Ovis aries: one gene and its partners. The protein of the gene in region 1 interacts with the protein of each later gene in a pairwise test. Links are inferred from orthologs where the notes say so. Each region holds a gene or a part of one and is shown in the gene's direction. Other genes may lie near its edges.

Region 1 (3,500 bases):
CACCTCCCTCCCCATAATATCTCTCTGGGTCATCCCCGTGCACCAGCCCCAAGCATGCTGTGTCCTGCATCGGACATAGACTGGCGATTTGATTCTTACATGATAGTATACATGTTTCAATGCCATTCTCCCAAATCATCCCACCCTCTCCCTTTCCCTCTGAGTCCAAAAGTCCGCTCTACACATCTGCGTCTTTTTTGCTGTCTTGCATACAGGGTCGTCATTGCCATCTTTCTAAATTCCATATATATGTGTTAGTATACTGTATTGGTGTTTTTCTTTCTGGCTTACTTCACTTTGTATAATTGGCTCCAGTTTCATCCATCTCATCAGAACTGATTCAAATGTATTCTTTTTAACGGCTGAGTAATACTCCATTGTGTATATGTACCACAGCTTTCTTATCCATTCATCTGCTGATGGACATCTAGGTTGTGAAACTGACATTTTAATACATTATAAGAACTACTTGTTTAGAAAAAAGAGAACAAAGCTGAGCTGGATGCCATAGATGGTTGCTTGCTAAGTTAATGGTGTCTATAAGCCCACAGGTAAGAGTCACAGGAAGAAGATAAGTGATCCCTACTTGAAACCAGTTATAACAGAATGTGAGATTAGATCTGTTATAATAATCAAAATATTTAGAATTTTTAGTTTGTAGCATTAAAAAAATTACATGTCAAGGTAGCAATGGTTCATTTGATGTCATAGTGAAATTATAATTGCCTTCAGCATGTCTTAAGCTCCCAGAGGGCCTGTAGCTTCTGCTTTTTGGTGTCTTTTACAGAATAAATGCTCAGTAAATATTTGAGTTTAATTATATGTGCAATTTGTTGACATTTCTCCCCAACTACAGTTCAGTTGATAGTGGGAGTAATCAGGTTAAGCAGATTCAATCTTGTGAAAGTCTTTAAAGTTAAATAAAATTTGACCTCAGAATTCCTTGACATGTTGTCTTCCTCAGTAGGACAATTCCTTATGGTCTTTCCTTGTGGATATTAAGGGAGTTCAGCATTTGCAGCCTTCACTAACATCATTGCATTGGCTGCCTTTTGTTATTTCTCTAAGAAGTAAAACCTGATACCTGTTTTTCCTTTTATGATTTTTACTTCTTTGTATCCTTATAATAATTAATAGGAAGTTAAGAAAATTATGACAGATTTTAAAAATCTTTTCTTGGCATACATTAAAATAATCAACATTATAATTAGTTTCTTTAAATATTGTATTTTGCTTTTTCCATTTCAATTGCTGTAGGACCTTGGCCTCACTACTGTCTGGGAAGACCAGCTTTCTTATCTCTTGTCACCAGCTCTGGCGTCTTATGAATTTGAGCGTACAACAAGCATATCTGCGGGCAATGAAGAGTTTCAGGATGCTATCAGAAGGGCTGTGCCTGATGGCCACACATTTAAAGGGTTCCCAATACACTTTGTGTATAGAAATGCGAGGCGCGCGTTTGCCACATGTCTTCGGTAAGGTGGAATTTATGATGTCTTGGTGTTTTTAACATAATTTCAGTGAACACTTGGCACTAATTTAGGAATGACTTCAGAGTCACACAGGGAGCTTCTGTAGTGACCTGTCCTCTTGCCTCAGACTCTGATTCATTAGGGCCAGAGTGTAGCTCTGGAGAGCTCAGGGTCGTTTTTCTGCCAAGGATCACTGATCTTGTCTAGTGTAATTTAAAAAACTTAATTGGCTATGAGGAAATAGTTTATAATTTGAATAGTTTTACCACAGTTGCAGAGTCCTTGATAACAGAGACAGGATTTTTAAAAATCATTTTCAATACCCGACTTTCTTGGAAATAAAGTAAAACCTAAATTCATTTCTTAATTGAATCCATTTTCTCTCTTCTAAGGTCTCCTTTCTGTGAAGAAATCATCTGTTGCCGTGGAGACCAGGTGCGCCTGGCAGTTCGTGTCCGCGTGTTTACTTACCCTGAATCTGCTTGTGCTGTTTGGATCATGTTTGCTTGTAAATATCGCTCAGTACTATAGGACTAAGTTTCTATAAGACTATACCTGTGTTTTATTAGAATTTTACACATTGTGTTGATAATAATACTAGGTGTTTTGAGGTTCATTACTTTAAAAATCACAATCTGGCTTCGATGTCATATTTAACTTTTATATAAGCCTCACTAATAATGTTTGAAAAGTATCATGATGTGTGTTTAAAAATTAAGGATGAAAAACTTGTATAAATTTGAGAGGATGGTAGTATAAATTAAGTGTTTATCTTATTTTAATAAATACTACTTTGCTTATAAGTAGTCAGTAGTTTAAATATGAAAATAAAATTTACTTAGTTTTCTTTGCATTAACAGGTAATCAGAAAGTTATTTGCCTAAGGATTTGAGCCATAGTGAAGTTAATACGATCATTATTTTTCATAGAGTAATGGGATTATTTTATATAAATTAGGAGAAATTAACTTCACAACATTTATTTATTACATAGATGAAATGCATTTTGATGAATTTACCACTTTCGTGGTTTACTCATAACTACAGGGATATTTGTGACTCTCTAGAGAGTTATGGGAAGACATGGGTGCAGGAGCAGAGAAAAAACTCATACCAGAAAAGCATTATTATTAGTAACAAACCACACATGAAAGTATACAAATAATTTATAAGTATTTGTTAGTTTGATTCATTGTAAAAGTGAATTGTGTATTTTATTATTTTTTTTGCTTATTTATTTTTGAATTATTTTAGAAAAAATTTATTATACCCTTTAGTTGTATGTTGAAAATTGTTTTCTATAATTGATATTGGCAGTCTGTTGCTGATTTTCTGTGGTCACAGCATTCTTTACTAGCCTCTCGTGGAGTTTATCTTTTGAAATCACAGTTTTTGTTTCTTTCTTTTCTCTTTATGATAAAAGCATCCATGTGTATGTGGTGAATGTAAATCAGAGAATCATCATGTGAGGCCACTGAAAAACGAGCATCTGTGAGTGCCTCCATGCTGATGTTTGTTTTTAAGTTGAGAACAGTGCACTTTGAAGAGGCTGTAGTGGTTTAAACTTTGTGAGAAGCTGCCTGATGGGATTGCCTTGCCATCCACCCACCTCTCTGTACAGCTCTCATTCTTTCCTGCAACCACTGGGCTTCTTATGAAAGTGACTATACCAAGTGGCTGTGCAAGTTATGCTTTTCATTGCTAATTCAACATGGCAAATAAAATGATATTTTAGAAATTAAAATCTAAAGATACTCTAAAATTTACTTTTTAATTTTTACATATGTAATTATTTATGATATAACTTGTTTTAAAAGTCTGAAAATAATCTCTCATACCAATTTTTATTGAAAATGACCAGAAATCAGAAGTTTCTTGAGACTGACATGACTTTAGAGAATCAGCAAGATAAGAATTAAGACTTTTTGGTCTGTTACCAGAGTTACTTGCAAAGCTATCAACAGGAAAAATGGCTTGTAATTTTCAGCTTTTGGAACAAACTATTTGTGAGGCATGTACTAGGAGGCAG
Region 2 (3,498 bases), on another chromosome or scaffold:
CAAAACTCAAACCTGCCTGGAGCCCAGAGGCCATGAGCATGGCAAGAAGATAAGACTGTGCTTATAGCTGTGGTTATTGACTCAGGCCAGATCCTGCAGGGCTTTGATGCCCTGTTTGGGGGACAAGGAAGGCTCTGTGAGAAGTGGACTAATCAGCTGTTTGAATACTGTGTGTGGAGTGTGCAAGCCTTGAAACCTAGCATTTCCATTCAGGGAATTCCATGTATAAGTTTGGAAAAGTGAACAAAAACATGCAAAAATTTTATCGTAGTAGAAAAAACTACAAACAACCAAAATTTTTGCTTACAAAGAACTGATGAAATAAACCATGAGATAACCATATATAGAGTTAAATAATAGTAATTTTTAAAAATAGGTGATGCCATATGTATCTCAGGGTTTTGTGCAAAGCGTTTTGTTTTTTCTTTGAATAAAAAAGTTGGGCAAGTGGAGCTTTTATGGTGTCTGATATTTTTCTTAAAAATCTCAATTAGCCAAATGTTACCATGTGTTACTTGTGTAAAGTGAGTACATGGTTTCTGTTACATTATTCTCTGTACTTTTTTATGTTTGGGAATTTTAATAATTTAAAAAGAAAAAAGAAATCAAGTTATATAGTAGTATGTTTAGCGTCCTGTTTGTATACAAAATGTTTTCTATACCTCCACATTTTTATACACTTAGAACAGCTGATGGGATACCCACCAAACAAGCTGCTGGGAGGGAAGAAAGATAAGCAGAGAAGGAGGACCTTTTACTTGCTGTTTCCTGTACTTTGGTGGTGTATTTTTGTTTGTTATGCTTTGAGAAGAGATGGAAGTGAAAAGGGTTGATGAAGAGCAGCAAGAACTGGTGCAGTCCAGCACTTCCCTGAGTAGACTGGGCATGGAACAGAGGGCCCCTGACATCAGGAACTGCAGGTTGGGGTCCTGCTGGGATGGAAACTGGTTCCCCTGGATAGGCACCCCAGAATAACTGGCAGGTGGACCTCTTCCCTACTCTGGCGAGGTTAGATTCTTAAGAGTTAACTTGAAAATTGACTGCCGAACACATTTAGTCAATAAGGTTACTCTTCTCACTCTACTGATTACAGTTTCTCACAGACAGTGGTTGTATTTAGTTCAGGGTCAGAACTAAATTTGTTGTGTTTGTGTTTTTTCCTAGAGAATCCAGCCTCAGCTCCCAGAAGAAGATGGTGATCACAGTGACAAAGAAGATGAACAGCCCCAAGTGGTGGTTTTAAAAAAGGGAGATCTGTCAGCTGAAGAAGTCATGAAAATTAAGGCGGAAATAAAGGCTGCCAAAGCAGGTATGTCTGAAAGTAAGCTGGTTTTCCCACCAATTTAACGTTAGGTATGAAATCATTTTATATAATGGTATGGTATGTTTGATATTTGTCCCGGCAATCTTGATTCCAGCTTGTGCTTCTTCCAGCCCAGCGTTTCTCATGATGTACTCTGCATATAAGTTAAATAAGCAGGGTGACAACATACAGCCTTGATGTACTCCTTTTCCTATTTGGAACCAGTCTGTTCTATGTCCAGTTCTAACTGTTGCTTCCTGACCTGCATACAGGTTTCTCAAGAGGCAGGTCAGGTGGTCTGGTATTCCCATCTCTTTCAGAATTTTCCACAGTTTATTGTGATCCACACAGTCAAAGGCTTTGGCATAGTCAATAAAGCAGAAATAGATGTTTTTCTGGAACTCTCTTGCTTTTTCGATGATCCAGTGGTTGTTGGGAATTTGATCTCTGGTTCTCCTGCCTTTTCTAAAACCAGCTTGAACATCTGGAAGTTCACGGTTCACATATTGCTGAAGCCTGGCTTAGAGAATTTTGAGCATTACTTTACTAGCATGTGAGCACATGAGTGCAATTGTGCAGTAGTTTGAGCATTCTTTGGCATTGCCTTTCTTTGGGATTGGAATGAAAACTGACCTTTTCCAGTCCTGTGGCCACTGCTGAGTTTTCCAAATTTGCTGGCATATTGAGTGCAGCACTTTCACAGCATCATCTTTCAGGATTTGAAATAGCTCAACTGGAATTCCGTCACCTCCACTAGCTTTGTTCATAGTGATGCTTTCTAAGGCCCTCTTGACTTCGCATTACATGATGTCTGGCTCTAGGTGAGTGATCACACCATCGTGATTATCTGGGTTGTGAAGCTCTTTTTTGTACAGTTCTACTGTGTATTCTTGCCACCTCTTCTTAATATCGTCTGCTTCTGTTAGATCCATACCATTTCTGTCCTTTATTGAGCCCATCTTTGCATGAAATGTTCCCTTGGTATCTCTAATTTTCTTAAAGAGATCTCTAGTCTTTCCCATTCTGTTGTTTTCCTCTATTTCTTTGCATTGATCGCTGAGGAAGGCTTTCTTATCTCTCTTTTTTTGCATTTGTTTTCCATGAGGATGGTCTCCTGTCTCCTGTACAATGTCACGAACCTCTGTCCATAGTTCTGTCTATCAGATCTAGTCCCTTAAGTCTGTTTCTCACTTCTACTGTATAATCATAAGGGATTTGATTTAGGTCATACCTGAATGGTCAATGGTTTTCCCTACTTTCTTCAATTTAAGTGTGAATTTGGCAATAAGGAGTTCATGATCTGAGCCACAGTCAGCTCCCGGTCTTGTTTTTGCTGACTGTATAGAGCTTTTCCATCTTTGGCTGCAAAGAATATAATCAATCTGATTTCGTTGTTGACCGTCTGGTGATGTCCATGTGTAGAGTCTTCTCTTGTGTTGTTGGAAGAGGGTGTTTGCTATGACCAGTGCGTTCTCTTGGCAAAACTCTATTATCCTTTGCCTTGCTTCATTCCGTACTCCAAGGCCAAATTTGCCTGTTACTCCAGGTGTTTCTTGACTTCCTACTTTTGCATTTCAGTCCCCTATAATGAAAAGGACATCTTTCTGGGGTGTTAGTTCTAAAAGGTCTTATAGGTCTTCATAGAACCGTTCAACTTCAGCTTCTTCCAAGCATAGGCTTGGATTACCATGATATTGAATGCTTTGCCTTGGAAATGAACAGAGATCATTCTGTCGTTTTTGAGATTGCATCCAAGTACTGCATTTTGGACCTTTTTGCTGACCATGATGGCTACTCCATTTCTTCTAAGGGATTCCTGCCCACAGTAGTAGACATAATGGTCATCTGAGTTAAATTCACCCATTCCAGTCCATTTTAGTTCGCTGATTCCTAGAACGTCGACCTTCACTCTTGCCATCTCCTGTTTATTTGCCTTGATTCATGGACCTGACATTCCAGTTTCCTATGCAGTGTTGCTCTTTACAACATCGGACCTTGCTTCTATCACCAGTCACATCCACAACTGAGTATTGTTTTTGCTTTGGCTCCATCCCTTCATTCTTTCTGGAGTTATTTCTCCACTGATCTCCAGTAGCATGTTGGGCACCTACTTACCCAGGGAGTTCCTTTCTCAGTATCCTATCATTTTGCCTTTTCATACTGTTCATGGGGTTCTCAAGGCAAGAATACTGAAG
Region 3 (4,155 bases), on another chromosome or scaffold:
CTGGGAAGCCCGTTTATTTGTGTATCCCTCCCTATATATTGAAGTCCATGAGTGCATAACAGTGCCTCCAGTTCCAGTCCAACACCACAGAGCTTGTTCTAACTTTTCCCCTTTCTGTATTAAAAACTCCCTTTTCCAGCAGCGAGAACCCCGATTCCCTTTATCCCTAGTATAATCCCATGTGTAACCAATCTCCCTTCTCCTTTGCTGTCTGCTCCTGTGGGGACGCCTTTCTCTCCATGATCTGGCTTCAACACCCTGCACCACGCCACCTCCATGAGTGGATATCGTCACTCTGCTCACAGTGCAAACCCTTACCCTAGATGAGGTGATACCCGCGTGTAGATAAACCTCGTCACCCAGTTCATGCTCCAGTATCCTGTACCAGGCTGCTCTTCTGTGGGTTCATCCTCAACTTCCCAGGCGCCAACACTCTGGGCCACGCAACCCTTATTGCCTCCAAACCCACCCACTTTTTTTTTTTTTTTTTTTTTACTACACCACGTGGCACTTGGGATCTTAGTTCCCCAACCAAGGATTGAACCTGCGCCCCCCGCAGTGGAAGCACAGAGTCTTAAATTCCCCCACCAGGGAAGTCTCTCTATCGCTTCACTGTGGCCTCTGACTACCCACATCAGTGTGGATGCCTACCTTGCCCCTCCTGCCCTGAAATGTTCAGGAAAAAAAGAAGGGAAGGGAAGAAATGAGCAGAGGAAGGGCAAACACCACCCTCCTGGCTCACTGGAAAAGACCCTGGTGCTGGGAAAGGTTGAGGGCAGAAGGTGAAGAGGGCAACAGAGGATGAGATGATTGGATGGCATCACCGATTCAACAGACGTGAACTTGGGCAAACTCTGGGAGATGGTGAGGGACAGGGAAGCCTGGTGTGCTGCAGCCCATGGGGGTCTCGAAGAGTCGGACATGACTTGGCGGCTGAACCAGCCACTATACTTGCCTATTCCCAAAGTCAGGTTCTCACGTGATGTTCGCATTCTGCTCGTGTACTCACGTTCCTGGCTTACTCCAGAGCTCCTGGAAGCCAGGGGCCGTGTGCTCTCCGTCTTCACTTGCACAAAGGCCAGCAGAGGCCAGGCTTAGGCCGATCACGCCACGTGCCTGTTGGAACGTTGTATGAATGGATGCCCTCCGCTCTAATCCTCGTTTTTGCAACTATCCTTCCAATTCTATTCTGGGGATAAAAGGTCAGAGCCTGACACTGGCTCCCCCCCTCCACCCTCCAGTCTCCCTCAAGCCAGATGGGGAGGCAGGAACAGCTGTGATCCCTCCCCAACTTGAGAAGAGATTTCCCACCCAGCTGTCACAGCCCCAAGGGAGCCAGGGCGACCGGGGGAGAGGCAGGCAGAGTTGGCCAAGGACTGGCGGAGAAGCAAAGGAGGCTGAGCCACCAAAGGAGGACCTGAAGTCGAGGAGGGGTGCGGCCTCTTGAGATCGGAGCCTGATGAGCTCCACCATGACACCCTCCATGCAGTTTCCCATGGGTCCTGCCTGCATCTTCCTAAGAAAAGGCATCGCGGAGAAACAGCGGGTGAGGCTGGGGGCGATGGGGAAGGACGGTGGGAAGCTGGGATGCGGGGAAGAGAAGGGCTGTGACCGGCAGGTGGAAGAGGGGAGCAGGGGGTAGAGCATGACCTGAGAAGGTTAAAGAATCCCAGGGAGCACGGTGGGGACACGTGGGTCAGGGAGGGGAGGGTGAACTCAGAAGTCAGGACCGGAAGGCAGAAGATGAAAGAGGAGACAAAGGGGAACTGGGGTGACGTCACTGTTGACCAACATCATTGTTTTCTACAGACACCCATAGTGATGCCAGCGACGGTGGTGGTGGTGGGGATAACAGTAGCTGTCGATTATTATTTTTTAATTGGTGCTGGGTCTTAGTTGTAGCATGTGGGATCTAGTTCCCTGACCAGGAATTGAATCTGGCCCCCATGCACCGTAGCACGGAGTCTTGGCCGCTGGATCACCAGGGAAGTCTGTAGTTGCCACTTAAGTCATTGCTGTGTGCCCAGACTTGTGCAAAGGGTTTTTCATTCTTGATATTATTTAATCCTCACAATCAATGACTCATGAGGTCCGTAATGCCTTCATTCCCATTTTATAGATGTGGAAGGTAAGGCTGTGAGTCATGAAGTCCATTGCTTTAAGCTTTGACAATTAGTAAATGGCAGGGCCAGAACCGTTTGATTCCAATGGGCATGCTTTTCACTGTTAGTCTTTAAGCCTAACTAACTGGGGGGAAAGTGAAAGTATTAGTCGCTTCGTCATGTCTGACTCTTTGTGACCCATGAACTGTAGCCCACCAGGCTCCTCTGTCCATGGAATTCTCCAGACAGGAATACTGGAGTGGGTTGCCATTCTCTTCTCCAGGGGATCTTCCTGACCCAGGGATTGAACCTGGGTCTCCTGCATTGTGGGCAGATTACCTTCTGAGCTGCCAGGGAAGCCCCAGCTGGAGCGGGGAAGGGGATACTAAAAAAGAGAAGGTGGGAAAAAGTCTCCAAGGGTAAAGGGAGGTATGGGGGCTGAAAGAGGCCAGGGGTTGATGGAATTTTCCTGGGGAGGTGCTACGTGCTCAAGCCTGACCCTTCAGGTATGTCCTGGCGTGGCTAGTGGCAATATGAAAGGGTTTCAGAAATTGGTTATGCTGGCTGTGTTCATCCTGCCTGGGAGCCACTGAACACAGCTCTTACACCAAGGGATTCTCACCCAGCCACTTATGAGCTGTGTGACCTCAGACAGGTTCCTTAACCTCTCTGTTCCTCAGCTTTCTCTTAAGTAAGATGGGAATGGTATTTGGCTCGACCTCCAGGGTGGTTCTGAAGTTGAAATGAAATGATTGTGGAAGCCCGGCACAGTTAGCACTCTGAGTATGTTAACTGATTCTAAGTCTGACTCTTCCTCATCTGGAGGAGACTGGATTTCATGGCCCCCAGGATCTGTTTTGGCACAATGGGATGGATGTCCACTGGGGAAAGGCAGGAGAAGAGAGACCAAGGGAGAGAGGAAATGAGAAGGGGGTGAGGAGGAGTGGGAGGAGCAAATAGCCAGGGACGGGGAGTCAGGAGGTGGGAGAAGGAAGGTGAGAAGGGTGGAGGGGAGGGAGAAGGGGAAAGGACCAGGAAAGGATGAGGATGAGACGTGTTTGGAGAAGTGAATGTGGGTCTCTTGATTCTCTTTCCAAATCCTGCCCCCACCCCCCGCATTCCTTTCTAGGAAAGACCACTGGGACCAGATGAGATTGAAGGTAACACTTCTCCCCCAGACATCCCCGTATCACCATCCACCCATTCACCTGCCCTCTGTTCCTTTGTACATTTCAGCATAAATCCCTCGACACAAAAATTTTACATCACTCTCTCTTCCCACTCAACTGTGATTTCGTGGCAGTTTAAGTACTTCCCAAAGTGTTCAGAAGCCATCCTGACCCCCAAGTGTCTCAGAGACCCATGAATGATGCCTGAGTTTTAAGGATAAGTCCAAAATTATTCTTTTTTTTTTCTTGGTGGTTTTGAAGTTTCTCATTACTTCACCCAACAATGTGAAGGACTTCAGTGCTATCATTTGGTGGTCTCGAGAATTATGCCTCTTGCTAACACACTTCATATATCTCTCCTTTTGGACATTTTTATAATATTTTTTTTTTTTGAGGAGTCTTGAGTTGGTGCCTCATTGACAGTTTCAAGGGATGCTCCTTTCCCCCAGTGACTGTTTCAAGTTGCCCCAAAGTTCTTGTCTCTTAACTTTCAGAGCTCCGGGAAGCATTTCTTGAGTTTGACAAGGACCGAGATGGGTTCATCTCTTGTAAGGATTTGGGGAATCTCATGAGGACAATGGGTTACATGCCCACGGAGATGGAACTGATTGAACTGGGCCAGCAGATCCGGATGAACTGTGAGGCTTGGGGGTGGGAGGAATGACCCGGCCTTAGGGGAGGGTTAAGAGTGAAGTCAGGAAGCATATGGAGGTTGAGAGTAGAGCTGGAGATGGGGAGGAGGAAAGCAGGGCTAGACGTCTGGAAGAAAACTGCTCAGACTGTACTTAGGGAGGCAGCATTTGAAGTGGTTAAAAGGGTGATTTTAAAGATAGATTTGGGTTCAAGTTCCATTCTGTTGTTTACTAGTTGTAGTCATTATGAGA
Region 4 (3,500 bases), on another chromosome or scaffold:
CGGCGGGGGGAGGCCCAGGAGGCAGGTCCCCTCCGGCAGCCCCGTGGCCGTGAGTCTGGGCTCCCCACGGGGCCCCCGGGGCTGGGCTGGGGGCTTTGGGCCTGGGAAGGATGCTCAGCTGGGCAGCTGCCACCTCGTGGGGAAGGAGGTTCCTCGGGAGTGTTGCCCAAACTCAGCGCAGGGGAGTGTGGGGGCCGTCAGGACACACATGGGAGGTGAGGACCACCCAGAGGGGCTTCCAGCAGCAGGTGGGGCAGGGGCTTGAGGCAGGCCTTAGGCCACAGGAGGAGGAGCAGAGCGGACAGGGAGGGCTGGGCGGCTCCGCGGGGGCCTCTGCGGCAGGGGCTGTTCACTGAGGAGGAATTGCCGGGGTGGGGGGCGAGAAGTCAGGCCCTGGATGGGCCTGGGTCCTGGGGACTCCTGGTGGTCTCCGGTGGGCAGAGTATGGAGGAGGGTATGCGGACCCCGAAGGCTGCCGCACAGATTTTCCTCCCTCTCCTGCCCCGGGTAGACGTGGGCCCCCAGCACCACTCCCCACCCCCACCACCCCGGAGACCCCCGCCCTGGTCCCCAGCCTGGCAGACCATTCCTTGCTTCCTTGCACTCGGCTGAGCCTGGCGGGGCCCCCGCGGTTGCCAGGGCCTAGACGCTGGAATGTCGGAGGCCCCTGCACTGGCCCCAGGCCCCTCCTGCCTCCACCGGCCGAGCTGGAACCCAGCCCCGCTCCGGGCCCTGGGCCCTCCCACAGCTCCTTCTCTGCAGGTGTGCGCGTTTGGGGCACGTGTGCTCCAGGCGTGCGTGCGCTCCCAGGCCTGCCAGCCGGTCTCCGCTCCTGCGTGCACCGGGGTTGTGGGCAGCAGCGTGGAGAGGGTCAGCCCAGGCGGCCTCTGGGGTGGACGGGTGGCCTCTCCAGAGGATGAGTCATTGCCAGCCTCCATCCCGGGCCTGGCCCTGCGCTGAGATGGGGCCGGGAGCCCGCTGGTCCTCGTGTGGCTGGGGGGTGGGACGCTCCTGCTCGGGAAGCTGGGGAGCAGCTCTCCCAGAGGCCTCCTCCCCGCCAGCCCCTCCTCAGGCCCCCCAGGTCCCCCATCCTCCTCCTGGCTGAGGACCATGTCCTGGGTGGCTGGGGAGCTCAGAGACCAGAGGACAGGCCTTGGAGATGGATCCGTCCAGTCGCAAACACCCCCTCAGGGGCACTGCCTAGCTCTCAGCAGGGCTCCAGCTGGAAGGGAGCTCTGGCCCCCTTTTACAGGGCGGGAGACTGAGGCTTGGAGAGGTCTGGCCTGCGGTGGGTGGGCCGGGATGCTGTGCAGACAGGTGCTGCCTGCCCTTAGAATGCCAGCTGATGAAGACGGAGCGGCCGCGGCCCAACACCTTCATCATCCGCTGCCTGCAGTGGACCACGGTCATCGAGCGCACGTTCCACGTGGAGACGCCCGAGGAGCGGTAGGGAGCGCAGGCGCCGCGGCCGGGGAGGCCCCGGGCCCCGGGCAGAGCTGGGGTCTCACCTGAGCATCCCGCAGGGAGGAGTGGACCACCGCCATCCAGACGGTGGCCGATGGGCTCAAGAGGCAGGAGGAGGAGACGATGGACTTCCGGTCGGGCTCACCCGGCGAGAACTCGGGGGCCGAGGAGATGGAGGTGTCGCTGGCCAGGCCCAAGCACCGCGTGGTGAGCCCCAGCCCTGCCCCACACCGCCCTCCCAGCCCCTGCACGGAAGCGGGGGCGACGCGCCGGGCGCAGGGAGGCCTGGGAACGGCTCTCCCACCCCCCGGACCCCAGCGTTCCCAGTTGGGGCGCACAGCCCTGCAGTCTCCCTTGAGCCCCGGACCCCCAAGGACCATCCTCCCCCCCGCCCGCTGCCCCAGCCTCACCGTCCTCGGCCCGAGGCTGCCCGCGGAGACCCCGGCCCCGCTCAGCGCTGCTGGGCCGCCGGCGGTCAGCGTGCAGCCCCCTGATCCTGGCGCCTGCACGCTGCCCTCAGACCATGAATGAGTTTGAGTACCTGAAGCTGCTGGGCAAAGGCACCTTCGGGAAGGTGATCCTGGTGAAGGAGAAGGCCACAGGCCGCTACTACGCCATGAAGATCCTCAAGAAGGAGGTCATCGTGGCCAAAGTAGGGGCGGGGGGGGCGGGGGGGCCGGGGCTGGGGGGGCGGGGGCGGGGCTGGGGGAGGGCGGGGGGCGGGGGGGGGCGGGGGGGCCGGGGGCGGGGGGGGGGGGGGGGGGGGGGGGGGCGGGGGGGGGGGGGCGGGGGGGGGGGCGGGGGGGGGGGCGGGGGCCGGGGGGGGGGGGGGGGGGGGGGGGGGGGGGGGCCGGGGGGCCGGGGCCGGGCAGGCGGCTCAGCAGTGCCCGTCTTGCAGGACGAGGTCGCCCACACGCTCACAGAGAACCGCGTTCTCCAGAACTCCCGGCACCCGTTCCTGACGGTGAGCGCGCCCCCCCCCCCCCCCCCCGTGCCCCTGGGGACCCCAGCCCGTCCTCCCTGCCAACCCAGCAGGCTCGGAGCTTGGACGATGGTGGGCGGGCCTGCGGGAGCGGCGTGGGGGTGCACAGAGCGGGCAGGGGCTCCCGGCTTCCCTCTGTCCTGCTGAGACCCCGGGAGGCTGCACTCCCCGCGCCCACCCTGCTGCTCCCGGCAGGCGCTCCCTGTCCTGGGGGAACTCGGCCCAGGAGGGATGTAAGGAAAACCCGAGCAGCAAGGCGTTGGCTGGACTTAGCCGCCAGGCCTGGCTGGCCGTGCTCCCAGGTCAGCAGTCAGGCGACCGGGTCAGCCTCCAGAGTCTTGTCCCCGGGACCACTGTGCTCAGCACGGTGTCTGCTCTCCAGCGGACGCCTGGTCTAACGCGCGGGGAGAGCCGAGCAGCAGGCAGGCTCCTAGGATGTTTTCTCAGGAGAAGTGTGAGGCGTTAAGAGCAGACACTGTTTGTCCGCCCAGCCCAGAGTTATCATGACCGTGGCTTTGCCGCCTCCGCTTCATTTTGCCCCTTCCCCTCTGTCTGGCCAGAGGACTGTGAGGAGAAGGCCAGGCTTTGTCATGCCCTCCACTGGGTACCGGCCACCTCAAGTCCTGTAGGGATCCGGACTTGCTCTGCCTGGGGACGCTTGCCTCCCTCCGGCTCTCCCTGGGGATGGGGGATGGAGCAGGACGTGGGGGAGGGTCTCACGTCGGTATCTTCATGAGCTGGGGGCCATCCCATCAGTAGCAGTCTTTCTTTTGAAGTGAGGCTGCCTGTGGTTTGACGCGTGAGGGCAGTGGGTTGCATCCTGCAGGGGAGTCTCCACGTGGTCAGTGGACCTGCAGCTGCTGGTCCTCGGGCATGGCCTTTGGGGCAGCTGGGGGTCTCCTGCTCCACGGGGCAGACCCCCTGCCCAGCCAAGGGCCAGGTTCGAGCTCTGCTTCCCTCACAGGCCCTGAAGTACTCCTTCCAGACGCACGACCGCCTGTGCTTCGTCATGGAGTACGCCAACGGGGGCGAGGTAGGGCCCTGCCCCTGCGCT
Region 5 (4,230 bases), on another chromosome or scaffold:
TCATTGCCAACGATGGTTTTTTTGTTATTGTTGTTTGGCCATACCACATCTTAGTTTCTTGACCAGGGATCAAACCCACATCCCCTGCATTGAAAGTGCAGAGTCTTAAACCACTGGACCACTGGGCAAGTACACCAAATGATGTTCTTAAAGATCAAATTTAATATCCACAAAGAAATTCTTTCCACAGAATCCTTGACAACTGTTTTCTGTCTCTGTGAGAGCATGTCGCAAAGAGCTCATAAATTTACAGGAGAAGCCATCACACTTTATAAAGTTCCTTTATACTGAGCTGAAGGTGCCTCCTTGTAACTTCTGTTCTGGTGGTGCATGAATGCTCAGTCATTTCAGTCGTGCCAGACTCTTTGCGACCCCACGGACTGAAGCCCACCAGGCTCCTCTGTCCACGGAATTGTCCTGGTAAGAATATTGGAGCAGGTTGCCATTTCCTCTTCCAGGGGATCCTCCTGACACAGGGATCCTACCTGCGTCTCCTGCATTGGCAGGCGGGTTCTTTACCACTTGAGCCGCCAGGGAAGCCAATGTCTCCTCTGGAGTACCACGGAACTCTTCTGTATGATTTTAGCAAAGGTGGCATCCCTTCCGCTCTGGGAGCTGGAAAGAAGTGGGAGACACAGAAGAGCCCCTGACCCTGTGGGTATTTTAAATGAGATTCCTTAAGATCAATCATTTTCATTTTACATGCTAGGAGTTTGGTGGCATATTGTACGTTTTAACACTATAGAGGAAAAGAAAAAAAAAAAAGAACTAGACTACTGTCAGATCCACCTGGGTGCCAGGGCTGTTTCTCTTACATCACAGCTGTGCAATCTTGGACAAGTTACTTAACCTCCCTGAGCCTTTTGGTTCAGCTATAAAGAGGATCATCTATAAATAGGAGTAGTAAAACTGGGTGTGCTAACCTCAAAGATGTATTTCTCAAACTATGCCCCATACATGAAAATATCTTATAAATTTTAAAGAGATCTACATATATATAATGATCATTTTTACTTAATTTTTTGGTCAGCCTTTCTCATTTTTGACTTGCGAGTAACTGAGTTCTTGGCCTTATAATCAGGATATACCAGAAAGTTTTCATTTCCGCTTATACCCCAGAAGCAGTCACATCTTCCAACAAGGTGGCACAGAATCATGAAATAACCAGAAAGCACTGCGAAGAGCTTAGAGGAAGAGTCAGAAAAACGACGGAGGGACATTTTCTGAACAGACAGCAGAGCGAGAGGCCCGGAACCCAGGCAGGGAGGAGAGGGTTAAATCCTTTCCTCTGCAGTACAAAAGAAAAGAGTGTGCGGAAAGATTAGGATTTTTGCTTTTACAATGGGAGCTGCAGAAGCGTAGGGAAGAAGCTGAAGAAAAAAAAAGGGGGCGTCTCCCCTTTAAAGACTTGCAGAGATTGAGAGAGAGTCAGAGACTGAGAATCAGAGCGCGCGCGTGTCTGTCTGTCTGTCCCTGGGAAGCGAGAACATCTCTGCTTCACAGTGATTGGCACTGGGGGAGAGGCATCAGTTGGCTTCAGACCTAGGGGGAAGACCTGACCAGGTCACCCCGATTCAGACTAAGTGAGCGTTGTCCCTCCCTGTCCCACCTCTCTCTACCCGGGAATGTCTCGGCGAAAGCAGCGGAAACCCCAACAGTTAATCTCGGACTGCGAAGGTCCCAGCGCGTCTGAGAACGGTGGGTGCCGGGGAGGGGTGGGGGTGGGGGCCGAGTCCAAGCCTGTGTGGGTCAGGCCAGGGCAAGGGGAGGGCACCCGGGCCATGGGCGAAACCAGGGGGAGGACTTGGTCACTAGGGGGTTGAAAGAGTTGAGTCGCAGGGAGTAAGGAGATGATGACCTGCGCTGGAGTGGAGCCCCGCTTGGCTTTTCTCAGGGTTGATTCTGTTTGTTTTCCATGTTGCTTTTCTTTGGATGAAATGGAGTTTTCAAACTGGCTCTGTCTCCCCACCCAAGAGTTTTCTCCCCAGGTCCCCCTTTGCTCACTGGTCTTTGTGCCCGTTGCTAAGTAACCTTCTCAGACCTGAAGACCCGTCTCTTAGGGGTGGGATTCCCGCCCCCCTTTTCTTTCTGGAGAGTTGGGTTGCAAGAGAATGAATTGGATGAACGTGAAGGTTCCCCTGAGGGAGAGGAGAAAAAAGTTTCTTATTGTTGGGCTGCGCAGAGAACAGATCAGAGCTCCCAGAGGGAGAGAGCTAATGTCGGTCAGATGCAGCCTAGTTTGGAGTGTGTATCTGTGTCACCTAGGGTAGAGGCTAGAGGAAAGGTCTGGATGAGGGCCTTAGGTGGATGCTTCAAGTAAAGCCAAGCTAAAAAAACTGTATGCGTTAACATACATGCATTTTAATACATGCATATCATTTTATGAGGATATTATCATTTATGTAACATTTTCTTTATGAGGGGGGAAATTTTCATGTATTCTTATAACATTCCAGTAAGTAAGAGGCAGCCAACAGAGTAACTAAGATACTGAGCAGTGACATTGCTCAGTCTCAAAAACAGGCATAATCAGGACAGAAACCTTGTTTTCATGATAATCAGAGCTAGTAGTACACACTCCACCTAAATTAGGGTTTTCCAAGCTTGCTTGGTTGTGGGTAGATGTGGGCTAGAGTCTGGGAATCTGTATCTTTGCAAATATCCAGGTACTTCTTAGGAATGAGGAAGTTTTGGATAATCTGGTATGGCTATGTATTTCACACTGACTCAGGGATAAGCTATTTATTTAGCAAACAGCTGATTCACTCAACAATGTAATATAGGAATAAACACAAGGATTCTGAAGGCAGAATTTCAAGATTCAAATCCTGGCTCTACCTCTTGGTTAGCTGTGCAGCCTTTGTGGATTTACTTTGCTTTTCTATGTCTCAGTTTCTTCATCTGTAAAATGGGGATGAATATACTGATTACTATCTCATTGGGTTATTGAGTTAATACATGTTTTAGTACACTTATAAAAATAACTAGCATAAATAAGTGCTTAATACATGTGGTACAGTGCCTAGCATAAATAAGTACTTAATATGTGAGTATTATTGTTATATGTGAGTGCAGTGGCACTTCCTGCAAATTCTGAAATAAGACCAAAGCTCTGGGAACTCTTGGTGAACTTCAGCATTTCTTTATGAGATATGTGTCATGGAAACCTCTAGGATAATGTATTTGGAGTGGCTAAAACTAAAGCATGGATTAAATTTATGTTCTCACCTGCTGTAAAAAAAAAAAAAAAGACTTGAGATCAAGTCAGTGTGCCACATGCTACAGACATATTGGCTTTTGTGTAGAGAACACATCCCCTTCAAGTCAGTGCTTTACTGGGATCCCACTGTGCCAGTATTAAGAGGTTCATGCTGGTGGCATCCTTCCCTCCTGGGACACATTAGCCCCCGCCTTAATGCGGCTGTAGGCCGGATGTTTCCTCCCGCTGCTCTACAGGAGACTTCCCCCAGAGCCTCGGAGTTGCCTTACAGTCCTGCTCCCCTGCTGGTTGGATTGCGGAACAATACTGAATCCCCCCCAGAGGCGTCCTCCTTTCCTCCTCTCTCCCCTCTCTCCCCACTTCCTCAGCTCACCCATTCCCTACACCACTGCTGAGGAAAAGTCTGGGAGGAAGCTACAAATTCTTTCCCTACCGCCCTGAGAGGATTCTCCAGCCCCTTGAGCTGTAGCTCCCACTTGTGGCTGTGAACACCTGGGGGCGCGGAATGCTGCTGCAAAGCCGTCCCCATGGAAACAGTACAGGCCTGAACTCAATGGCAGCAAAGAATTGCAGTTGAAATTTTGCCTTTGAGCCATAAAAGTTAAAAACACAAATGTCAGGAGCAAGAAAGCAGTAGTTAATCTTAAGAAAGCCGATGGGTTTTCTGTTCAGAATTCTCCTGAGAGTGAAAGATCCTTGCGCTACTACCATGACCTGGGGTGTAATGGGGTCTCATATGTAAGATGAGGTGGCTAATATTTGATCAAATCTAAAATTCCTTAGTGCTTTTATAAGATATACAGATAGGGTTTCTATTCACTCACATGATCTTCGGGCTCCTGAGTTTTCCTTCTACCCCAGGGACATTTTTTTTTGTTCTGCACGCCCCCAAATTAGGTAGGGAGGGCTCTTATTTTACAGGTGTACCTGTGGAGCTATGGGCATCATCATGACCATCAACAGACATTTATTTAGTAGGCTAGGATGCCACTAAAGCTTTCAGGAGTCTT
Region 6 (3,500 bases), on another chromosome or scaffold:
GATATCCAGAATATCAGATATTCTGAATTGGGTGTGTGTTGCTTTATAAGATGTTTAGCAGCATTTAATCATCCATTGAAAAATATTTTTTAAGCAAACAAGGCACTATGCTTTGCAGTAGGGATGAAATGGTATGGTCTCTTACATAAATCAGAGGAACATCCATTATAAATAAAATTTAAGGTATTAAAGGAAGGCTTCCTGGAAGAAGCTACTAACTAAGATCTCCTTTTTAGCTACTAACTGAACCTGACAGAGGGTAGGAAGGAGTTCAGAAGAGTAGAGGTTTCCCAGGCAAGAAATGACCCTTGTGATGTCAGTAGAAGCCAGATCCTTAGAATCTTTCTAAGAGATTTGAAAGTTATGCTACATGACATTATGGGAAGTTTTAAGCTGGGAAGTGATATCATAAGATTTGTGTTTTTGAAAGAACACTGGTAGCATTTGGAGTGTGGCAATACTACAGACAGGTTCAAGGAGGAGGCCACTGCTGTTATCCAGGCCAGAGCTGACAGAAGCTGAATAGTGAGGTGACCAACAACATAGATGAGGAAAAAAGCAGCAGCAGAGATGACCAGACTACCTTGTTCTCAATGATGACTGTTTTGGACCTAGACGGTCAAGAGTGGTCTAAATTTCACTAAGTAGAGTTGTCACTCATTCACAATAGAAAAGTGTCCAGTCTGATCACACTGACTTGTATTACAATTTCAAGGATGCGTTATTTGTCACTGACCTTCAAGTGGTAATAACTCCTGAACTTTTAGAAGTTACTGTTTCTCCCCACTATTTCTAGCTTTTATTAAGAGAGCTCCTTTGTAAAATTGTTATAAGTCCTTTGTTTGGCATATTTGTTATTACATATAAATAGGCCCTGAATAAATGGCTGTATTTATACATTTTCTATCCCTTTGCTTCCACTCCTTGTTCCCTACATACGTTAGCATTGGGATGATATTAACCAGTAAGTGACTGATGGTTATTTTAGACTTTTTTTTGCATGTTTTACAGTATTAGAAAATGATACAGAGTCTCTCATTGTTTTGTATCCCAAGTTAGCTTCTTCCCTCCCCTCAATACAAGACACTAGCATGTCTTCCTTACAGTTCCTCTGACATAAACTTAGAAACCAAGGTATAAAACTTTCTCCATATTACAAATTATTACAAGTCATTACAATAGTCCTCTAAATAGAAATTTCCCTAGTATGCATAGGAAATGGATTTGTGCAATTGATTAAAGCAGCGAAATCATATTATTACTTTAAAATGAGCACCCATCTTTCACAAATGATTCTTTTAATTCTTCTTGCTAGTCTCTTCTTATATCTTTCGTTGTTTAGTCACAAAGTCATGTCCAACTCTTTTGTAACCCTGTAGACTATAGCCGCCCAGGATCCTCTGTCCATGGAATTTTCCAGGCAAGAATACTGGAGTGGGTTGCCATTTCCTACTCCAGGGGCTCTTTCCAGCCCAAGGATTGAGTCCACGTCTCCTGGTTGGCAGGTGGATTCTTTACCACTTAGCCACCAGGAAAGCCTGGTCTCTACTTATGTACAAGAAAATAAAACATTTTTAATAAAAATTTAAGCTCAGAACTATCAAGAGCTGGAAGAGATTACCTAGATCTTTTTAATCCCCTTTCAGAATCTAATATTGCATGAAACTAAGAAGAGACCAGGATGTAAAGGTGGGATCTAGCTGTACCTGCCTCTGATCATTTGGAGGAAAACTATCCCATCAGTGATGTGATCTTTATTCATGTATTTTTAACTTTGTCGGGGATCTCCTGTTTAATCATTGAGAATAGTTTCACTTTTGTGTATGTTTTAAAAACAGAAAGATAGAAAGGTCCCTATACAGTGGGTGAACAAGTTAATGATTAGAAAAACTACAATGAAAGCTTATTTGCACAATATAACTAGGTCAGGATTAGCAGATTTAAAAAATATATATATAATGCTATCACCATTGGCTTCATTTACATTCATTTGTTTAGTAATTAAATTGGGTCAGTGTAACAGTGTTGACACTTCACCTGTGAATTTGTCGTCTTTAGTGAGTTAAAAAAAGGAACCTGCCTTCGGTTTGCTGGAAGTGGAAATGAAGAGAATCGGAATAATGCATACCCTCATAAGGCAGGCTTTGCTCAGCCTTCAGGCCTGTCTCTGGCCGCAGAGGACCCCTGGAGCTGCCTGTTCGTGGCAGACAGCGAGAGCAGCACGGTGAGAGCCGTCTCGCTGAAAGACGGAGCAGTGAGACCCCTCGTGGGAGGAGAGAGAGACCCCACGGTAATGAAGAGCGCCTCTGCGCCGTGTGCCTGCTGAGCGAGCATGCGATTTGCTGAATTGTGACGTTAGTAAGACATAAAAAAAAAATGAAGTCGCTCAGTCGTGTCCGACTCTTTGCGGCCCCGTGGACGGTAGCCCACCAGGTTGCTCCGTCCATGGGATTCTCCAGGCAAGAATACTGGAGTGGGTTGCCATTTCCTTCTCCAGGGGATCTTCCCTACCCAGAGATCGAACCCAGGTCTCCCACATTGCAGGCAGACACTTTAACCTCTGAGCCACCAGGGAAGCCCTAGTAAGACATAGGAAGGAGAAAATTCTTGGACTTATCCATGTTAAAATGGAAGTCAAACCAAAGGAAATGTGACTATAAAGAAGCACAAGTAACAAAACCACCTTTGAAAAGTTAACTGATCTGATTTGATTCTGTATGAATGTCAAGGCTTCCGAGAGAAAGGAAGGATAAAACTGTGATTACTGAGCAAGGGGAAAGATGAAGAGTAGATAATTTAGCAGGAGGGTGGAAAGAGCTCCAGGGTAAGTAGACCTGAATCAGATGTGTCATTTTTGTGAATAAGATTCCTTAGAACCACAAATTAAAAATCAGGTTCAGAATTCTGTCATTTTTCTCTAGTTTCAGTCAAATGCCCAACCCTATTTATATGAAATCAGACTTTTCCCCATTTAACTTAAGTAGCATGTACAGCCATCTGAATTTTCACTTTATACCCTAACAAAGTTCTGTGAAAAAATTTTAATACATGCTGTTTTTTTTTTCTTTTCAAAAAAAAAAAAAAAGAATTTATTTGCTTTTGGTGATGTTGATGGAGTAGGAATCGATGCGAGGCTACAGCACCCACTTGGAGTAACTTGGGACAAGAAAAGGAATTTACTGTACGTGGCAGACTCTTACAATCACAAGGTGAGTCTTGACAGAATTATATAATACCCTGCTTTTCACTTGTGGTATTTAAAATGCTGAAAGATCTGTGAGCCTCCTACAACTGCCACTCTAAAATGTAGAGAGGAATAACAGTCTTTGACAACTGTACATAAGCCTTTCTGTTCCTTTTTTGGTCCTTTCTTTGCAGAAATGATGTGATAGTACTCTGAGCTGGGGAAAGGACTAAACAAATTCCCAATGACGATAGCCCAAAATTGGGAATTGCAAGCCACTAAAGCTGTTTAGTAAGATCTTCGGGAAATAAGGAGA
Region 7 (4,018 bases), on another chromosome or scaffold:
TCTGTGATGAGCCCCTCTGCAGGTGGGTGGGGGGCTCTGGGGCTCTCCTCCTCACCACCCCAGCACTGCCAGTGCTGCAAAGGATCCCTGAGAGGAAAAACTCGGCTCTGAGCATTTAAAGAGAAGGATTCAGTCTTCTGTTATCAAGAACATAGCTTGGTCATTCCACAGGAGGGACAGACAAAACACAAGCTGGCGGCTGTCACTGGTGGACACAGTGAATAGCCCAGAAATGGCTGGAGGGAGAGGAAGATCCTCAAAGGTTAAACATAAATTTAAAAGACAAGGGGGGCGGGGAATCCCTGGAGGGCCGATCTAGAAGTACGGACCTTCGAGGATCCATCCCCGGCCTTTGCCCATTTCCCAGCCCTCCCAGCGCCTACTCGATCCCACGGGACCTGACTGGACTGCAGAAAGTCTCTACCAACGACATTAAGCCAGTAGAGCCCTGCGATTTTTCTCCAGTTACTGTTACAGAGGCGGGAAAACTGGAATTTTGCAATCCGAGTTGCAGCCAGACGACTAGACGCAAATGGGTGACGGAGGGGCGTTGTAGGAGGCTGCAGCATCCCAAAGTGGAAGGCGGTGCAGAAAGCCTGCAGCCCCGCAGCGCCCAGCAACTAGCCGGGAAGAGTGCCCCACGCCCCGGCGGAGCGCGAGCTCCAGCCGGGTACAGAGCAACCAGGCGCGCGCCCGCGCGTGCGCTAAAGGCCCACCCATCCCAGCGCGTCTCCAGGTGCGCTCGCGCTTCCGGCCGGCCTTCGCTGGGCGGAAACTCCAGGACTCGCGCATGCGCTTTGGAGCTCGCCTGCGGGGTCCGGAGCGCCCCTCCCGGCTTCAGGTGATCCCACCCCTCCCTCGCCGCGCGGGACCAATCGAACGGCGGCAGGCGGGCTTTTCGAGCAGGAGGCCCCGCCCACGCGCGGCGCGAGGCGGGTACCGATTGGTTGGCGCCGCGGGCGCAGGTGCGCGCTTCCCATTGGGTGGGGGCGGAGCGCGGGCTGCCGAGGCTTCGGCGGAGGCTGCAGGTGAGCGCGCGCACGCGCCGCGGCGGCGGCCCGGCCCGAGGGGAGGGAGCGCGCGCGCGCGCGGGGCCGGCAGCCGAGAGCGAGGCTGCGGCGCGTGTCCCCGCCGCTCCGCCCCCTCCGCCGCCTCCGCCGTCGCGGCCGCCGCCGAGGCCGGGAGGGCGGGCTCCGCGTCCCCGCCCGCCGCGCCGCCAGTCCGACCCTCGGTCCTGCAGCGTGAGGAGCCAGCCGAGCGGGGCCTGGCGCGGAGACGCGAGCCGCGGCCGCCCCTCTGCAGGTGCCTGTGAGGAGGAGCCCGGGCCGCCGCCGCCGCCGCCGCCGCGTCCCGAGCCCGCCGGCCGCGCACTCGCCCCGCGCGCCCCCGAGGGGCGGCCCGGCTGGAGGAGGCCGCCGCGGGCCCGGCCTCAGGATGAACCGCGGCCACCGGCACGGGGCGGGCAGCGGCTGCCTGGGCACCATGGAGGTGAAGAGCAAGGTGCGCGGGCCCGGGCAAGCTGGGGGCCCCCGGGGGCGGGGGGCCGCAGTGACCGGGCCTGGGGCCCCCAGGGGCTGGCCGGGTGTATGGGGCCGCCGGGGCCGCGCTGGGGGGACTTGGGGGCTGGAGACGGTGGGGAATGAACTTGCCGAGGATTGGCGGCGGGGGGCCCTTGTGTCCGCTCCCGCCCCCAGGTAAGGCAGGAGCCCCACCGAGCGCTTAATCCCCTTCCGTGAGCAATCATTCCCCTTCAAGGATGGGAGTCAGGCCCAAGGCATACCCGAGGATGGGGGGGCATTTGAGCGAGCGCAACGTGGTACGAAAGGTTTGGAGGAATTCTGCCTTCTGGCATGTGAGTAAAGAGTTTGAAACATCCGTAGTCACCCAAATGTAAAAGTTAGCCTTTGCTTCCTGTAGGGATTTTTCGAACACGAACTTTGGTATGCATTGAATCTTGTAAAGTGAACACTGTCACCTTTCGGGTGAGTGGCACTTAGCAGTTTTGAGTTTGGATGCCCTTCTCATTCCATCCTGCTACTCTTTCAGGTCAAGTGTTTTTTCCCTCTTGACCAACGGTATGCCTATCTGCCGATGACAACGTGTGGGTATCCTCTGAATTCCTAAATTGCAAGGCTCCCTGAGCAGGACAGTGTATCGGGATTAGTGAGGGAATGCTTTCTAAGGGAGGTTTTGAGCTGGAATTTGAAGACGATCGGCAGCCCCAAGAACATTCTCAAGCAAGCATTTCATGAATTGAAGAGCCAGAAGGGACTTAGATAATCTAGTCTGATTCTCGGAGAAGACAGGGGCTCAGAAAGGTTTTGACTTCAACAAGCTCTGCTTTTTATGACAAAACCTTAAAGCCCTTTTTACAAGATAAGTTTTAGGCCTTCTGGAATACTAAAGAGAGCACGCGGAGCTGAGCCCCCTGAACGTTTAAAATAAGAGTTGGAAAGATCAAGACACAGGGAAGAGTAGGAGAAAAGGAAAAGCGTATTAACTTCAAAAATAATGAAACCTTACTGAATATAAGATAACAGGGATGTGGTAGAAGGGAGAACGCAAAATCAAGGAGTGATTTTCAGTGAAGGAGAGTAAGGAAGGCTCTCTGGGGTAGAAGGGTTTTTATTATCTGGAGTTGATAAGTGAAGTCCTGTAAGTTGCCATAACTGAGATCTGCATTCATTTTTAACATTTTAAGACATCATTTTCAACTTAACTGGTATCACAGTAGGTACTAATTTCAAAAACCCTTCTGCTTAATAAGAACAGAAATATAGCAGGTTCAGAAATACACTGTCTCCTGTGTCCTCCATGGAATTGCCATGGCAAATTGAAGTGACATGCTTGAACTAAGAGTTAAGATAACAAAATATATAGCGAGTTTTTCCTCTAGCATATAGTGGTAGTAGTGGTTCTGTGGCCAATGGTTGAACCTTCTCACAGCATTTCTGTTATAAATCTAGTTTGGGTTTGTGGGAGTTGAGGTTAAGGAAAGAAAAACACGATATTGCGTAATCTTAAAATTCAGTTTGTGGTCCTAATCTTGGTAGCAAGTCTTTAACTTTTTATCATAGGAAAAAAATGAGTAGGGATTCTAGGTGCTCTGATTAAATACAGTCAAATGGTAATTTATCTTTCAGATTAGGAAACCTTGAGCGTGTAGGGACTAGAATTTCAGGCTTTCCATGCTTCTCTTCTGTCAACTGGTTTGTGAATCTTTCCCACACTACCCATTATATATTTGGCCTGCTCTTCTGGTAAACCGTAGCTCTTAAACAGAATCAAGGGTCCCACTCATTCTAGCTGCTGATCAGTAGGCACAGGGGAAGTACAGTTTCCAGTGCGTCTCTGACACCTTGTGTTTTAACTGTACATTTATTTTTAAGGGGTTAAAGAAAAGCACTTGACATCTTCACCATTTAAACAATATTTGGACAGATAGGTGGAACAATATGTCCATTTTCACTGCTTTGGTGGTAATATTACAGCTTTTTACAAAGTTGATAAGGAAGAGGTTGTGACCCCAACTCTGTGGTATGCAGATCCACATTTCAGGATTTCTTTTTCTTCTACATAAAAAGCAAGTTGTCAACGTCATGTCTTTGCTCATGGAAGGAGAAAATGCTACAAATAAAGTAATGGATCATGCAAATATAAGTATAGTTAAGTTGTGATACCAGTTACCATGTGACTTTTCTTTACAGTAACTTTCTGGTAACATTTATCTTCCTGTATCTATAGAGTTGAGAGAGCTATTAATAATCAAGGAGATGTCCTTCAGCAGTCTTGGATGTCAAAGACCTGGAATAGTCATTGAGCTGTACATTTCCTGGTTATTATTCATGGGGAACCAATACTAAAATCAAGTTTACATTTCTAAAGTGTTGTACCTAAAAATGCTGGGTGATGGGTGTCCATCCCCATGACCAGGCCAAACTAGACCAGGCTAAAAAAAAGTTTGAATAGTTGTTGATTGAGTCTTAATTTTATCTCTATTTTTGTATTTTTTTTCACG

What was found.
Region 2: the proteins of CEP76 (region 1) and KIAA1143 interact in binary tests that used the Homo sapiens proteins (3 or more experiments, as listed by UniProt). The two-hybrid records come from large-scale screens. The link is inferred for Ovis aries from reciprocal best matches to the Homo sapiens genes CEP76 and KIAA1143.
Region 3: the proteins of CEP76 (region 1) and CABP5 interact in binary tests that used the Homo sapiens proteins (3 or more experiments, as listed by UniProt). The link is inferred for Ovis aries from reciprocal best matches to the Homo sapiens genes CEP76 and CABP5.
Region 4: the proteins of CEP76 (region 1) and AKT1 interact in binary tests that used the Homo sapiens proteins (3 or more experiments, as listed by UniProt). The link is inferred for Ovis aries from reciprocal best matches to the Homo sapiens genes CEP76 and AKT1.
Region 5: the proteins of CEP76 (region 1) and SALL2 interact in binary tests that used the Homo sapiens proteins (3 or more experiments, as listed by UniProt). The two-hybrid records come from large-scale screens. The link is inferred for Ovis aries from reciprocal best matches to the Homo sapiens genes CEP76 and SALL2.
Region 6: the proteins of CEP76 (region 1) and NHLRC2 interact in binary tests that used the Homo sapiens proteins (3 or more experiments, as listed by UniProt). The two-hybrid records come from large-scale screens. The link is inferred for Ovis aries from reciprocal best matches to the Homo sapiens genes CEP76 and NHLRC2.
Region 7: the proteins of CEP76 (region 1) and PARD6B interact in binary tests that used the Homo sapiens proteins (3 or more experiments, as listed by UniProt). The two-hybrid records come from large-scale screens. The link is inferred for Ovis aries from reciprocal best matches to the Homo sapiens genes CEP76 and PARD6B.

What each region holds. Positions count from the first base shown.
Region 1 is NC_056076.1:43,547,447-43,550,946, reverse strand, and holds part of CEP76 (centrosomal protein of 76 kDa), read left to right. Parts: intron 1-1,257; coding exon 1,258-1,475; intron 1,476-1,864; coding exon 1,865-2,003; 3' UTR 2,004-3,500. UniProt on the Homo sapiens protein: Centrosomal protein involved in regulation of centriole duplication. Required to limit centriole duplication to once per cell cycle by preventing centriole reduplication.
Region 2 is NC_056072.1:16,468,001-16,471,498, reverse strand, and holds part of KIAA1143 (uncharacterized protein KIAA1143 homolog), read left to right. Parts: intron 1-1,164; coding exon 1,165-1,309; intron 1,310-3,498.
Region 3 is NC_056067.1:54,626,352-54,630,506, reverse strand, and holds the start of CABP5 (calcium-binding protein 5), read left to right. Parts: upstream 1-1,355; 5' UTR 1,356-1,459; coding exon 1,460-1,546; intron 1,547-3,231; coding exon 3,232-3,262; intron 3,263-3,765; coding exon 3,766-3,909; intron 3,910-4,155. UniProt on the Homo sapiens protein: Inhibits calcium-dependent inactivation of L-type calcium channel and shifts voltage dependence of activation to more depolarized membrane potentials. Involved in the transmission of light signals.
Region 4 is NC_056071.1:66,964,250-66,967,749, reverse strand, and holds part of AKT1 (RAC-alpha serine/threonine-protein kinase), read left to right. Parts: intron 1-1,334; coding exon 1,335-1,446; intron 1,447-1,523; coding exon 1,524-1,671; intron 1,672-1,984; coding exon 1,985-2,116; intron 2,117-2,362; coding exon 2,363-2,428; intron 2,429-3,410; coding exon 3,411-3,479; intron 3,480-3,500. UniProt on the Homo sapiens protein: AKT1 is one of 3 closely related serine/threonine-protein kinases (AKT1, AKT2 and AKT3) called the AKT kinase, and which regulate many processes including metabolism, proliferation, cell survival, growth and angiogenesis.
Region 5 is NC_056060.1:23,991,272-23,995,501, forward strand, and holds the start of SALL2 (sal-like protein 2), read left to right. Parts: upstream 1-1,430; 5' UTR 1,431-1,625; coding exon 1,626-1,698; intron 1,699-4,230. UniProt on the Homo sapiens protein: Probable transcription factor that plays a role in eye development before, during, and after optic fissure closure.
Region 6 is NC_056075.1:33,891,393-33,894,892, forward strand, and holds part of NHLRC2 (NHL repeat-containing protein 2), read left to right. Parts: intron 1-2,058; coding exon 2,059-2,290; intron 2,291-3,086; coding exon 3,087-3,209; intron 3,210-3,500. UniProt on the Homo sapiens protein: Required for normal embryonic development.
Region 7 is NC_056066.1:78,706,353-78,710,370, forward strand, and holds the start of PARD6B (partitioning defective 6 homolog beta), read left to right. Parts: upstream 1-1,218; 5' UTR 1,219-1,434; coding exon 1,435-1,500; intron 1,501-4,018. UniProt on the Homo sapiens protein: Adapter protein involved in asymmetrical cell division and cell polarization processes. Probably involved in formation of epithelial tight junctions.